2 linked regions of the Oryctolagus cuniculus genome follow. The protein of the gene in region 2 interacts with the protein of the main gene of each other region in a pairwise test. Links are inferred from orthologs where the notes say so. Each region holds a gene or a part of one and is shown on either strand. Other genes may lie near its edges.

Region 1 (6,327 bases), about 38 Mb from region 2:
GAGGCTGAGAGGCTGCGGGCGGCCTAGGGGCCCCTCCCGCTCCGTCCGACAGCCTGGCGCGCTGTGGGGCACGACGTGCTGCAGTGGCGCTCACGTTCCACTGCCCACAGCCCAGCAGGCCCTGTCCCAGTTTCCCTTCCGCTCCCTATTCTTGCCCCCCTTACTTGAACCAGTTCTGAGGCCCAGAGCCACACCGTCAGTGCCATCCCCTGGCCCTCTTAGCGGCTCCCGCAGCGCTGCCCCAGGGACGGCCAGCCTACCTGGTGTAGGAGTATTTGTTGTTGCTTCTGTTGTACAGCAGCTTCACCACGGGCTGTGAGGGAGCAGGGAGTCAGGCCTGGCCGGGGGCCTGGGGTCCCTGCCCGTAGCCCTCCGGGGGCCCCAGTACCTTGGTGGAGGACTCGATGAGCCGCTCCTCCTCCTTCAGGGAGGTGATGATGGGAATGTTACACACAGGCTGGTAGGAGTCCTTCTTGTCCTGCGTGAGTGGCATACAGAGCACAGAACTCTTGGGATTTATGCTTGCCAGTCTGAGCCAAGTAACCCTGGAGCCCCTCTGCCATGGCATCCTTGGCTGGGCGAGGAGGCATCTGACTGAGATCATGAGGGCCCTGGAGACAGGAACTGCTGGGCAGTAAGCAGACCCCCTTTCTGGAAGGCCTAAAACCCAGGTGGCTGGGCACATCAACAAACGAGGCCTCTCTGTACTGCTAAGGTGAGGCGCTGGGCGCCAGGTCGCTGGGCCTGGGCAGTGCCTCCTCTGCTACCTCCACCCAGGAGCTGGACCCTGAGATCCCTGAAGGAGGGGCAGTGCCTGGCTCAGCAGCTGCCTCCAGCCCTGCCACGTACCTGCAGGGCGGTCTGGCACATGTTCACCAGCCCCTGGATGAGGTAATATTTTGCTTCAGCCATCAATTCCTTGATTTCTTGCCGGTTTTGAGGGAGGGTGATGGTGTCATCTCGGAGGTAATTCAAAATGGTGCCAAAGTGCTTTCCACATCGATCTATGAGGATCCAGCCTAGGGATTCAGATGGGCCCCACAGGATTACTTCCTACCTCTCGGAACCCCAGAAGCCGGCAAAGGCTGCCTGACGAGCTAGCGGCCCGCAGCTCAGGGTGCTCAGGTCCACAGTGCTCTTCACCCTCCCTCACTGGACCCAAGAACTGGCACGGGGGCCAGCACAGACGCCTGCAGGCTCTTGGGAGCCCTCGGGCCTCTACTGGCAACACAGAAGCCATTGCTCCTTGCTTGCCTTCTGCCCACAGCCCAAGACTGGCGATGGCTCGTGAAAATCTAGTCCTAGTTAAATATTTTAAAAGTACGGATCTTGTCTGTGGGAACCGTGACTATCCAGTATGAGAGGTAATGATTTCAAAGAATTCGGAAGCTCTGCTGAGCACTGCAGGTGAAGAGGAAAGCAGTGTAGTTCTGGACCTGCCGGGCTTCGGGATCTAGCCCTACCCCGGAGCTGTTTCCCTAGAACCGTCCTCCCCTCCCCACCCTCCCTGCCCTTGGGCCTCACCTTCTTTGTCCGTCAGCACCTCCATGCGCCCACTGAACATGGCCTTGAGCATGGTGTCGTGCCGGGTGAGAGCCCGCACCGTGGTGTAGTACAGGGAGCCACCCACATTGAGCTGCACGTACTTGTTGCCCAGCCCGCCTCCTTTGAAGCCGCTTAACTTGGGCTTGGCCCCCGAGGCTGGGCACAGACAGGTATCCCCCGACATCTCCCGCTGCAGGTAGATCACCACACGGCAGGAGGTAGGCTTGGAAGGCTCCGCCGTGGTGGAAGTGGTCACAGGTGAGTGGCCCGTGGAGGCCAGAACCTCATGCTCAGCCCTGTGAGTGGGAGAGAAGATGGAAGTCAGAATAGAGGCCTTGGACCAGGAGGGGCAACCGCAGGGGCCCTGGCCACACTCATCGTCTCCGGAACAAGCCCAGCTGCTGAGGCGACATTTGGACTTTCCTGCTGCTGTTCACCGCCCCAGAGACAAGCACAGGCTCCCAGAGCCCTGCCCGCCTCATCCTGCCAGGCTCCCTGGAATCAGCTCACCTCAGGTGGCAAGAAGACAAGCCAGCCCTAGGCCTGAGGAACAGCCCCTGCTGGGCATCTACCAGTCAGAATTCCATTTATTCTCTTAGGGTAACTAGGAACCCAGACTTCCAGCCAAACCTGCTGGGCATCAGCCAAACTAGGACTTTCCCAGGAGCCACAGGGACAGGGTGGACTTCCTTTCTAGAGATACCAGGTGCAGGAGCGTCCTGGGCCCGTGCTTGCTTTAGCGTCACCTGGAGTTTTGAAAGGAAAGTAAAAGCAGCTTCAGGAGACAATGGAGTGAGTCAGACTGGGGGACCTAGCCAGGGTCTTCGGCAGTGTCACCTAGGTTCCACTTGGATTTCCTGACCGTCCCTTTTCTTGGCAATGCTCCAAGTTCCTGAAATTGTCACCACTGGCCAGGGCAGAACAAATACAGGACGTCTATTTTCACTTCTTTTTCCTAAGTGGGAGCCCAGCCCTATCTCGTCCTCTCAAGCTTTCCACCAAGAATGAGGAGGCAGAACCAGAACATCAGATGACAGATCTGAAAGCAATTAAATGATGTATAAATTCTTTTTTTTTTTTTTTTTTTGACAGAGTGGATAGTGAGAGAGACAAAGAGAAAGGTCTTCCTTTGCTGTTGGTTCACCCTCCAATGGCCGCCACGGCTGGTGCGCTGCGGCCGGTGCACCGCGCTGATCCAAAGGCAGGAGCCAGGTGCTTCTCCTGGTCTCCCATGGGGTGCAGGGCCCAAGCACCTGGGCCATCCTCCACTGCCCTCCCGGGCCACAGCAGAGAGCTGGCCTGGAAGAGGGGCAACCGGGAAAGAATCCGGCACCCCGACCGGGACTAGAACCCGGTATGCCGGCGCCGCTAGGTGGAGGATTAGCCTAGTGAGCTGCGGTGCCAGCCATGATGTATAAATTAAAGCACTAACAGGAGCTCTCAGGCGGGAGGAGCGGAGGGAGCCACCCAGTCACCCTCGCGACTGCAAGTCCACATTATGCTTCTGGCTTCCTAGAGAAGCGCTAAAATTCATCTAAAGAGAATGTCATAGCTGACTCTTAAGGCGCGTTTTCATGTGCCACGCACTATTCTAGGCATTTAATGTATATTATTTAATTCATTTAGCAGTGAAACTACTGACTGCCAACCCTGTGAAACAGTAGGGAACAATGAAAAATACAGTCTTTGCTTTCAAGGAGTTCAATTAAGCATCCTCATGTTAACGAACTTAAAAAGGAAAATAGGAGTTGGCACTGACTCTGGTTCCGTGGCAGGCAGGCAGGCGGGTACTAGCTGGTGCCCAAGAGCTGGGGCTTTATTTCAAGTGCAGTGCAGTGCAGGAATCCACTGGAGGGTTCTAAGCAGGTGAGTGAGATAATCGCAACCATACTTCTGGGTGCGGTGTAGAGAATGGATTGTAAGGGTGCAGAGGCCGTGGGAGGACCAGAGGAAGCAGTAGTGCAGGCATAAAGTGGTGAAGACTTGGAGCACAGGGGGAACAGAGGCAGAGAAAAGGCAGAATCCTCTCCCTCCATGCTCACACGCGGGAGCTGACGGTGTGCCTCGCCAAGTGCAGCCCACAAATGGCACTGGTGTCCCCAGTTGTGCCGCTCCACTCCGCACGCGGTCTTTCTGCACACTGGCCTGCACTTTTATACATGGATTTCAAGATGTTTTCTCCACCAAAATAAATTTTTCTTAATTTGACTTCCCACGAACCTTTTGAAGTCCATGGCAGTTCGTCAGATTGAAATTGTCCCTGAAAAGATTTAGGCAGGTCCCTGGGAAGAATGTCCCAAAAGGGCCAGAGTGGGTGTCCTGTGAAGTGATGAACTGTGCAGGCATGCGGTGTGGATGAGAAAAGCCCTCAACAGGAGTCTGCCGAGACCTCCACTGGGACAGCGGATGACCTAACCTCCCACCGACTCCAAACCAATCAGTCCACCCAGGAAAAGTTTTTAACAAGGTCAAAGAAAACACATGCATTTTCTCCCAAAGCAAAGGTACTGAAAGCCTGCGGTTTGCCAGGAGAGGAAGACAAATCCACAGCTAATCTATTCCTTTCCTGCAAAGCAACTGTTCCTGGCTGACGTCAGCTCAGATTCCATTCAGACCAATGAGTTCCAGGAATCCTGCGGCAGGTGCCGCCCCAGAAAGTAATTCCAGCGACAATGAAGTTTCCACTCAATACTCTTCCTTCCGGACTTTGTGGGTATTTGGGGATGCCTGGGGCTAGGGGCGGATCCATTTCCCACTCTGCGAACAAAAGGCAGACAACCAAAGCGGTGGACCGCGGTTGGATCCCAAAGGAAGAAGGATCTAGAAACCCGTCACGCACGGGGGGCCGGGGGCGGGTGGGTGTTGGGGAAGCCGTGAGCTGATCTTGGCTATAGAGGGTGGACCCAGCAGAAATCCTAGGTGTGAGGCTTAGGCTGCAAGGTCCTGGAGAAATTCGGCCACGGCCAGCCTCTCCCGTGGCCAGCGTAGGCTCTTGCCCAGCCCGCCCCCCTCACTACCAAGGAACCGAGACCAGCTCTGCATCTCCGCTGCGCCGTCCCACCCCTGCTTCCCAGGACCCGGCGGGCAGTCTTTGCTCCAGCCGAGGCCCGACTCTCACCGTCGCCGGGGGCTCCTCTCCTCTCAGCTGGGGGGCGAGCGAACTCCGTGCCGTCTCTGACCTGTGGCTGCCTGCCCGCCAGCAATCCCGAGCTGTGAGCTCACATCCTGCGCCGGTCGACTCCTCCCGGAGCAGCGGGCCATAAGCCTGAGACTACAAAGCCCGGCATGCACAGCACTCTAACAGGGAGGGGAGGCGGAAATTCCCGGAGGATCTTCCGGGCAAGAGCATAGCCACTTCCGGTAGCCCTGCAGGCGCAAAGGCCTCTGGATCTTGTAGGCAGTCATCCTTCCCTTCGGGCCTCTGTTTCCCAGCAGGCCCTGTAGGATGAACGGGTGTGAGTGCTTCCGGTGTCCGGAAGTGACGTTGTGGATAAACAGGTTTTGTAGCCGTGGCAGCGGCTGAGGAGAGGCGAGCCGGCCAGGCACTGACTGCTGCCCACCGCCGAGAGGAGCTGCCTGTCAACATCAGCCTGGGCCGCAGCGCACCACCGCTACGGGTGGGCAGGTAGGTCGTGACCTCGGGTCGGGGGCAGCTGGGTCTAGAGGAACTGGACAGACCCGCTGTTGAGGAAAGGCTGTTCCAGGCTGAAAGAAACTTAGGAATTCCGCCCGTCCCTTCGCGAGCGTTTCACACTCAGGTTGGGCCTGGAGCTTGAGCGTGGTCTTAGGAAGCGGGGACTCGTGTAAATCCAACGGGTTTGCGCAGTAAAGACAGTGTCAGGCCCTCCGGACTCAGCCTCGTGCTTCCTCCAACCCCAGGAACGGGGCCTGTGCCTGATGCCAAGCATGGATCGTGGTGAGGCGTTTCCGCCCTCACCCCGGCGCTCCGCCGCGTGTAGTGGGAATTGGGATGGAATCTGATGGGCAGCTGGGAAGCCTCTCCTTCAACCCTTCTCCCGTCTCAGGTGACTCATTCAGCTACCCCTCCCAGGTGCAAGGGATTCATGCCCGACCGCTTCACTCATCCCCTCCTCCAGTCAAGCCCCTCTAAGTCCTAGCAAATCGACTTACAGAAACATCTCAACCCAGAACGCCGGCCTCCAGGTGCTGGGCTGCTGTAGTGGCCTCCGGCTGCTTGCACAGCCACTGGTCATCCCACAGATGTCCACGGAGTGCCGACTGTGCAGGCACCGTGCTGGGTGCTAGGGTTGCAGTGATGAACACAGTAGGTGTGCTCGCCTTCCTGGTCTTCTGAGGCAGAGTGGTTTTTTATTTATTTTTAAGATTTATTTGAGAGGTAGAGTTACAAACAGAGAGAGGGGTCTTCCATCTGCTGGTTCACTCCCCAGATGACTGCAACGGCCGGAGCTGCGCCGATCCGGAGCCAGGAGCTTCTTCCAGGTCTCCCACACGGGTGCAGGGGCCCAAGCACTTGGGCCATCTTCCACTGCTTTCCCAGGCCATAGCAGAGAGCTGGATCAGAAGTGGAGCAGCCAGGACTCAAACCGGCGCCCAAAAGGGATGCTGGCACTGCAGGCAGCGGCTTAGCCTACTGTGCCACAGTGCTAGCCCCCAGAGTGATTATTTTAAAAAAAAGATTTGTTTGTTTGAAAGGTAGAGTTAGAGAATCTTTGCTATGCTGGATCACCCCCCAAATGATTGCAACAGTGGGGCTGGGCCAGGCCAAAGCTAGGAGCCTGGGACTCCATCCTGGTCTCCCAT
Region 2 (8,268 bases):
CCAAGGGCAAGGGACTGGGTCCTTAAGTTCTCTTCTGGTCTAGGCTCCTCCTCCCCAGGCCAAAGGACACAGGGCATTGCGATAGCTCCTGGACGACAGAGACAGGAATCAAACCCCTACTTTCACATGGCACAGAGTTCAGTGGAGGGAGGCCTGGCAGCCCTGAGGGTGCTCTAACTCGCTCTCTGTCCCCCAGGCCTCCTCCTGGACGCCAGCAACAACTTCAGCTACGTTTTCTACCTGTCCAGCTTCTTCCTCATCTCAGCCGCCCTCTTCATGGGGGGCAGCTTCTACGCCCTACGGAAGACAGAGCAAGGCAGGCGAGCCAAGGCGGAAGGAGCCGTCCGGAAGGCTGCCCTGCCGCAGGCTCTGAACCCCAAAGGCAAAGAGACTTCAGAGAAGCAGCCATGTCTTGAGATCACATACGTGACCAGTGTCTGAGCCTCACAGGTCACGCGTGTGACCAGCTTCTGAGCCCCGAGATCAGTACATGGCCACTCTCTCAGCAGAGACTTGCGACCTCCGGCGGCTTCGCCAGGGGTGAAGGGCAGCCCAGGAAGCCCGAGTCCAAGGCTGTCCAGACTCTCCAGGGGCCTGGAGGATGGCCTCTGCAGACAGACCCAGGGCCCTTCCCCGCAGCCGGATTGAGGGGGTGGCTCTCCTGACTTTTCCAAGGGGACCAGGGGACCTAGGACCAGCAAGCTGGGGCCGAGCCCTGCTCAGGACTGTCCCAGACGTTCAGTTCAGCTGGCTGCCTTGCTGCTCCTACAACTCGACACACTGGACTTTCACCTCCAACCGGGATACCACGGACATCATCCCTCTTTGTGCTTCTTGGGCTTCTGGACAATTCGGAAGAGTTCACCCTGCTCCCGGGGCCCGCCCTACTCCCTCTTCCCAAGGGACCCAGGAGTCAGTCCCTTAGGAAGGCCAACACTGAGGGTGGGGCTGCCCCAGCCAGGGTTGCTGGAGCCCGTGAGAGGTGCTGAGTCGGCCCCAGGTGCAGGATGGGGACAGTTCACAGGTCCAGTGAGTGCCTTGCCTGGCCCTGTGCAGAGAGCAGGAGGGGAGCCCCTGGCTGGGGTCCCGGGAGTGAGGGGCTCCCCAAGAGTCTTAGAGTCTCAGCAGGACCTGACTCGGGGCCCCCCACCCTCAGTGGGGAAGAAGACTCTGGGGTGGAGAAGCCGGACACTGTCCAGGGGAGGGGAAGTCTTGCTGGGCAGCTTGAGGACCACTGTGAAGACAGGGCTGCTTCTCCAACAGACTCCCGCCCCCTCCGCCCCTCCGCCCCTCCGCCCCTGCTGTGTCAGAGGGGTGAACCCCAGGCTGAGCAGCTGGCTGGGCCAGCTGCCTGGCCACCCCTGCTCCCTGCACTGTGCCCTGGAGGGCAGAGCCCTCCCCGCCACAAACACGTTGCTGGCGCCCTTCCCTGAGGTCGCCACCCCCCTGAGCGCCGGCTGCCGTCAGCCCAGGCTTGTCCCAGCAGGGAGCCGGGGGAATGGGAAAACACAGTGTGTTTGAATTGCACACACGACCATTCCCTGCAGCCAGTCATCAACTCCGAGCTAATACAGCTGGAAGGCAGGCCTGGCGTGAGAGCCCCCTCCTCTTTCTCCCAACCTGGCAGGGGCTGCCCGGGCTCAGGCCCTTGTTTGTTGACTCAGGCTCAACCAGGCTCCAGCAAGAAAATGTTATCAGGAGGATTGATTTTATTTTCATGACCCAGCCTCAGCCTGCCTCCATCACGTGTGCTCTAGCGTGAATAAGCATCCTTGGGAATGGTCCGCGAGCCAACTCCAGGACTCTGCCATGAGTGCCCCCTAATGGCCAAAGGAGGCAGTGCAGAGGCAAAGCCAAAGACGGCTGGGATAGAGGTGGGATTTCACTTTTGTGCCAAGATACGCTGTGTGACTTCAGGCAAACGGTCACCATCTCTGGGCCTTGGAAAGGGAAGGAGTTAACCTGGAGAGTTAAGCCTCTTCCAGTCTGGAGAGTCTGGATTTGAGTGTATTGAAGCCACACCTTCGGGCTCCCCGTTCATTCCTGTGCTTGGCCACAGGCATAGCTTGTGCTCTCAACAAGACCGCTTGGACACATCTCCCCAGGGTCTCTGCACCTGGACTGGTGGGAAGGGAGCGAGCAGGGGCGGCAGGCAGGTGCATTTGGTGCTGGTGTGCACCAGGCTTTGATGAGGTGTGCAGCCCTGTGCCACTTCCACAAAACAGGGGAGTGAGCACTCAGCACAGAAAGCGAGACGCTCGCCTGCCCCCAGGAAGGATTGGCAATAACCCCCAGGCAGAACCCCTCCCACACACACTTACGAAGCACCACCGTGCGCCAGGCACTGGGCAGAGAGGGGCAGCAAGTTCTGCACAAAACCAAGGATTGGGAGTTCTCCAAGCAGGCCCTGAGGCCTTAGGAAGGGATAAGACCAGACACTGGGGGAGGCTGGGTTGCCCATCGGGCACCAAAACCTGCGGGTGTTTTCCTGGGAAAGCAGTTCCTGGCCAGAGAAGGGAGGAGCTCACCTCCGTGTGCCCTCAAGCCCCAGGCTCCTGGTCCCCAGGCCTTCGCTGCTCTGTCCAGCAACAGGCGGGAAGTCCCCTGGCTAAGACACACTTTCCCAGGCCATCCAGGATCCCCACAGAGTCAAAGGACAAAGGGCAGCTATGGTACCCAAGCACCAAGGCCAAGGTCAGAATGGCGCTGTGGCACAACTGGTTAAATCCACGGCCTATAGTGTCGGCATCCCATGTGGGTGCCGGTTCGTGTCCCAGCTCCTCCACTTCCAACCCAGCTCCCTGCTAATGTGCCTGGGAAAGCAGAGGAAGATGGCCCAAGTCCCTAGGCCCCTGCACCCACACGGGAGACCCAGAAGAAACTCCTGGCTCCTGGCTTCGGATCGGCACAGCTCCGGCCGTTGCGGCCATCTGGGGAGTGAACCAGCAGATGGAAGACCTCTCTCTCTCTCTGTCTCTACCTCTCTCTCTAACTCTGTCTTTCAAATAAATAAAATAAACCTTTAAAGAAGAAGAAGGTGTGCATAGGGCAGGGCTGCAGCCTGCGTCCACCGCAGCTGTACTTGGCCCAGGGATGCAGCCACATTCCTTGGCCCCAGGAGCTCACAGCTCCAAGCACCATGGGGATGTGGCAAGGCCTCCTTTCCTGGTGCTGTTCTCTCCTGAGAAGCTCCGAGGAGTCAGACCAAAGGGCTTCAGGATCCCGGGCCCAACAACGCAGAAAGCTGCAGCGGTCCACAGGGGCGAGCTGAGGCTCCTTCCAGGGCCCTCCGGTGCTGCCCGGGACAACCCAGCTGTCAGAGGCTTAGGGCAGGACCCCAGTCCTCGGGACTTCGGGTCAGAGGTGGAGGGCCCCAATGGGGTCAGAGCGGAGTCGGCCGGACTTGAAATCCTGAAGGGTCGCAGGGAGCCGACGCTGAGGCTCCAGGGGGACGTCTAGGGGAGAAGGCTGGGCTGCGACCGCCAGCGGGTGTGGGGAGTGTGCGTCTGCCTCGACAGCCCCCTATGTGGGCACCCCCAGATTCTGCGGCACTCCTGGGTCGCCCCGGCTCCTCGCCGCATACCCGACCGCGCACCTGTCTGCCGCGCGCGTCCCCGCGGGCCCGGAGCTCATTGCGCACGCGAGCCGAAGAGCTCCGTGACGGCCCCGCCCCTTCTCGCCTCGCCCCGCCCCGTCTCTCCCCGCCCCGCCCCTTCCGCCCTCCGGGGGCGGGACTAGCGCGGCTTCCGGCCGGGACTCTGACAGGATCCTGAGGGTCCCGCCTCCCACTTGCCGTTTCGAGCTGCGGATTCTCGCAGGACCTGAGCCCCCCGGCCGCTGCGGTGAGGGTCTCACGCGGCTGTCCAGGCTGCCTTCTGCCCTTGTCCCACCGGGCCCAGGAGCGCTCGGCCGCCCCGCCATGGCCCAGAAGCCCAAGGTGGACCCCCACGTCGGGCGGCTGGGATACCTGCAGGCGCTCGTCACGGAATTCCAGGAGACCGCGAGCAAAGGTGAGAGCCGCGGGTGGGCGCCGCCGCGAGCCGAGGGGAGAGCCGAGGGGAGGGCGCGGGTGGGCGCCGCGAGCCGAGGGGAGAGCCGCGGGTGGGCGCCGAGGGGAGAGCCGCGGGTGGGCGCCGCCGCGAGCCGAGGGGAGAGCCGAGGGGAGGCCGCGGGTGGGCGCCGCCGCGAGCCGAGGGGAGAGCTGAGGGGAGGGCCGCGAGCCGAGGGGAGGGCCGCGGGTGGGCGCCGAGGGGAGAGCCGAGGGGAGGCCGCGGGTGGGCGCCGAGAGCCGAGGGGAGGGCCGCGGGTGGGCGCCGAGAGCCGAGGGGAGGCCGCGGGTGGGCCGGCGCGAGCCGAGGGGAGGGTCGCGGGTGGGCGCCGGCGCGGGGGCCGAGGGGAGGGCCGCGGGTGGGCGCCGCGAGCCGAGGGGAGGCCGCGGGTGGGCCGGCGCGGGGCCGCCGCCCGGGACCGGCTCCAGGGTCGCTTTCCCGTTGCAGACGCCAAGGAGCAGGTCCTCGCCAACCTGGCCAACTTCGCCTATGACCCCAGCAACTTCCAGTACCTGCGGCAGCTTCAGGTCCCGGATTTGTTCCTGGACTCGCTGTCGGAGGAGAACGAGACCCTGGTGGAGTTCGCTATGGGTAAGGGGGGCCGGACCCGACACCTGCGGGGCTGCCGCGCGATGGGAGGGTTGCAAGGGAGTCGTCGGCAAAGCGGCCTTTAGGGGCCCCCCTTGTCGCCCCACAGGCCATCAGGTCACAGCTAATGTGCGGGAGTGCGGGGGTCCCACCCAGGCCCCACCCTCTGCCTAGAGATGGGATCGCAGACAGGGAATGGGAGGGAGCAGCTTGGAGGTGGATCTTTAATGCGACGATAATGTAGACTTTAAAGTCTTTGTCGTTTACTGAAAGGCAGAGAGAGAGAGATTGAGAGATTGCACCCACTGGTTCGCTCTGCAAATGGCCACAACTTCTCCCAGGTCTAGGCCAGGCCAGGCCAGGGCCAGGATCCGGGACCTTCATCCCTCAGGTCCCCACAGGGGCAACAAGGGCCCAGCACTGCCTTCCCGGCTGGATCAGAAGCAGAGCAGCTGGGACTTGAGGCAGGACTCCCGCCAGTTGGCCCACTGCGCCCTCATCCCTGTCCTCGTGCAGAAATGTTTGAAGTCCATACATAGGTTTTTTTGTGAGACTTTTTCATGAACTTGTAATTAATTAATTAATTTGAGAGGCAGAGAGACAGACAGAGCTTCCATCTGCTGTTTTACTCCTCAAATGACAGAAATAGTCAGGGCTGGTCCAGGCCAAAGCTGGGGGCCAGGAATTCTATCCAGGTCCCCCCCCATGAGTGTCACGGATCCGACTACTTGAACCCCTCATACAGTGCCTGCCCAGTGAATACAAGGATATTTCAGCAAGTTAATGGGAAGTGGAGTTAAAATATAAGGGTGTTTTTGGTGCAATTAAAAAAATTAAATTTTTTTCATAATGCACATATTCTATGAATTTTTAAAAATATTTCCCCCCACTCTACTGTACTCTTCTCTTCCTTCCTTCTTTCCTTTTTTTCTTTTCTTTTTTTTTAAGATTTATTTTATTTATTTGAAAGAGTTAGAGAGGTCTTCCATCCGCTGGCTCACTCCCCAAATGACCGCAGCAGCCAGAGCTGAGCTGATCCAAAGCCAGGAGTTTCTTCCAGGTCTCCCACATGGGTGCAGGGGCCCAAGGACCTGGGCCATCTTCTATTGCTTTCCCAGGCCACAGCAAGGAGTTGGATCAGAAGTGAAGCAGCCAGGACTTGAACTGGCGCCCATATGGGGTGCTGGAGCTGCAGGCCAGGGCTTTAACCTGCTGCACCACAGCGCCAGCCCCTTTTTTAAAAAAAAAAAAAATTTACTTATTTGGGGGACCAGTGCTGTGGCACAGTGGGTTAAAGCCCTGGCCTGAAGCGCCAGCATCCCATATGGGTGTTGATTCTAGTCCTGGCTGTTCCACTTCCAATCCAGCTCTCTGCTATGGCCTGGGAAAGCAGTAGAAAACGGCCCCCCTGCACCCACGTGGGAAACCCAGAAGAAGCTCCTGGCTTCAGATCGGTGCAGCTCCAGCCATTGCGGCCATCTGGGGAGTGAACCAGCAGACGGAAGACCTCTCTCTCTGTCTCTACCTCTCTGTGTAACTCTGTCTTTCAAATAAATAAAATAAATCTTAAAAAATAAGTTTATTTATTTGAGGCCAGCACTGTGGTGTAGTATGCTAAGTCTCTGCCTGCAGCGTCAGCATCTCTTACGGGCACCGGTTTGAGTCCTGGCTGCTCCTCTTCTGACCCAGCTCCCTGCTAATGCTCCTGGAAAGAAAGCAGCAGAGGAGCGCCCAAGTGCTTGGGCCCCTGCACCCATGTGGGAGACCCAGAAGAAGTTCCTGGCTCCTGGCTCCTGATTGGCCCAATTCCAGCTATTGCGGCCATTTGGGGAGTGAACCAGCAGATGGAAGATATCGCTCTCTCTCTCTCTCTCTCTCTGTAACTCTGCCCTTCAAATAAATAAATAAATAATCTTAAAAAATATTTATTTATTTATTTGAATGGCAGAGTTATATAGAGAGGGAACAAAAGAGACAGAAAACAAGCTAGATATTCCATTGGCTGATTCACTCCTCGGATGCTGCGATAGCTGGAGCTGGGCTGATCTGAAGGCCAGGAATTTCTTCTGGGTCTCTCACATGGATGCAGGGGCCCAAGCACTTGGGCCGTCCCCTGCTGTTTTTCCAGGAGCATTAGCAGGGAGCTGGGTCAGAAGTGGAGCCGCTGGGATATGAACCTACGCCATTGTGCTGGGCCTTACAAAAATTCATATATTTATATATTTTTCATAATATACATATTCCATACATTTTTTGAGGATCCCCCTCACTTTTTAAAAGATATTTATTTATTTGAAAGGCAGAGTTGGCCGGCGCCGCGGCTCACTAGGCTAATCCTCCGCCTAGCGGCGCCGGCACACCGGGTTCTAGTCCCGGTTGGGGCGCCGGATTCTGTCCCGGTTGCCCCTCTTCCAGGCCAGCCCTCTGCTGTGGCCAGGGAGTGCAGTGGAGGATGGCCCAGGTGCTTGGGCCCTGCACCCCATGGGAGACCAGGAAAAGCACCTGGCTCCTGGCTCCTGCCATCGGATCAGCGCGGTGCGCCGGCCGCTGCGCGCCAGCCGCGGCGGCCATTGGAGGGTGAATCAACGGCAAAAGGAAGACCTTTCTCTCTGTCTCTCTCTCTCTCTCACTGTCCACTCTGCCTGTCAAAAAATAAAAAAAATAAAATAAAATAAAATAAAAAAAATGAAAGGCAGAGTTACAGAGAGAGAGGGAGAGATACAGAGATCTTCCATCCATTGGTTCACTCCCCAAATGGCCACAACAGCCGGGGCTGGGCCAGGCCGAAGCCGGGAACCAGGAGCTTCATCAGAGTCTCCCACATGGGGACAGGGGCCCAGGAACTTGGGTCATCTTCAGCTGTTTCCCTAGGCACATTAGCAGGGAGCGTGATCAGAAATGGAGCAGTAGGGACTTGAACGCACACCCATGTGGGATGCCGACATGGCAGGGTGCTGCTACACCACAACACCGGCTCCGCCCCCTCACTCTTTAAGCCAGGTTCTGTTCTGAATGTTGGGGAGATGTTGAGCAACGGGTTCTGCCTACAGGAGCTTACATTCTAGAAGGGGAGACGTGGGGAGCACATTAAAATGATGCTGCTCGGGGGGAAGTCAACAGGAGGGGGACAACTTCCGTGTTGGCCATGATGGGCAGGCACACTCGGCAGAGGTGCAGAAGCCGTGAAGGAGCAGAGGGAAAGCAGGCGCGGCAGGACGGCGGGGAGAGACCTGGAAAATGGCGCCAAACGAGGCTGCTGGCAGCGGAGCTGGCCAGGGCTTACATCTGACCGTGGGGATGAGTTTGGCATTTATTATGAGAGCAAACACAAATTATTTTTTCAGCATGCAGTTTTTAAGATTTATTTATTTGAAAGTCAGAGTTACACAGGGAGAGAGGAGAGGCAGAGAGAGAGAGGTCTTCCATCCACTGGTTCACTCCCCAGATGGCCACAATGGCTGGAGCTGTGCCGATCTGAAGCCAGGAGCCAGGAGCTGCTTCTGGGTCTCCCACGTGGGTGTAGAGGCCCAAGGCCTTGGGCCATCTTCTACTGCTTTCCCAGACCATAGTGGAGAGCTGGATCAGAAGTGGAGCAGCCAGGACTTGAACCGGTACCCATTTGGTATGCTGG

What was found. The genes of interacting proteins can lie anywhere in the genome.
Region 1: the proteins of ARMC7 (region 2) and TNFAIP1 interact in binary tests that used the Homo sapiens proteins (3 or more experiments, as listed by UniProt). The link is inferred for Oryctolagus cuniculus from reciprocal best matches to the Homo sapiens genes ARMC7 and TNFAIP1.

Annotation. Positions count from the first base shown.
Region 1 is NC_091448.1:43,886,409-43,892,735, reverse strand, and holds the start of TNFAIP1 (BTB/POZ domain-containing adapter for CUL3-mediated RhoA degradation protein 2), read right to left. Parts: upstream 4,866-6,327; 5' UTR 4,664-4,865; intron 1,842-4,663; 5' UTR 1,730-1,841; coding exon 1,525-1,729; intron 1,020-1,524; coding exon 850-1,019; intron 479-849; coding exon 389-478; intron 314-388; coding exon 261-313; intron 1-260. UniProt on the Homo sapiens protein: Substrate-specific adapter of a BCR (BTB-CUL3-RBX1) E3 ubiquitin-protein ligase complex involved in regulation of cytoskeleton structure.
Region 2 is NC_091448.1:5,403,186-5,411,453, reverse strand, and holds the start of ARMC7 (armadillo repeat-containing protein 7), read left to right. Parts: upstream 1-3,723; 5' UTR 3,724-3,919; coding exon 3,920-4,010; intron 4,011-4,496; coding exon 4,497-4,640; intron 4,641-6,004; coding exon of another isoform or gene 6,005-6,033; exon of another isoform or gene 6,034-7,321; intron 7,322-8,268. UniProt on the Homo sapiens protein: As a component of the minor spliceosome, involved in the splicing of U12-type introns in pre-mRNAs.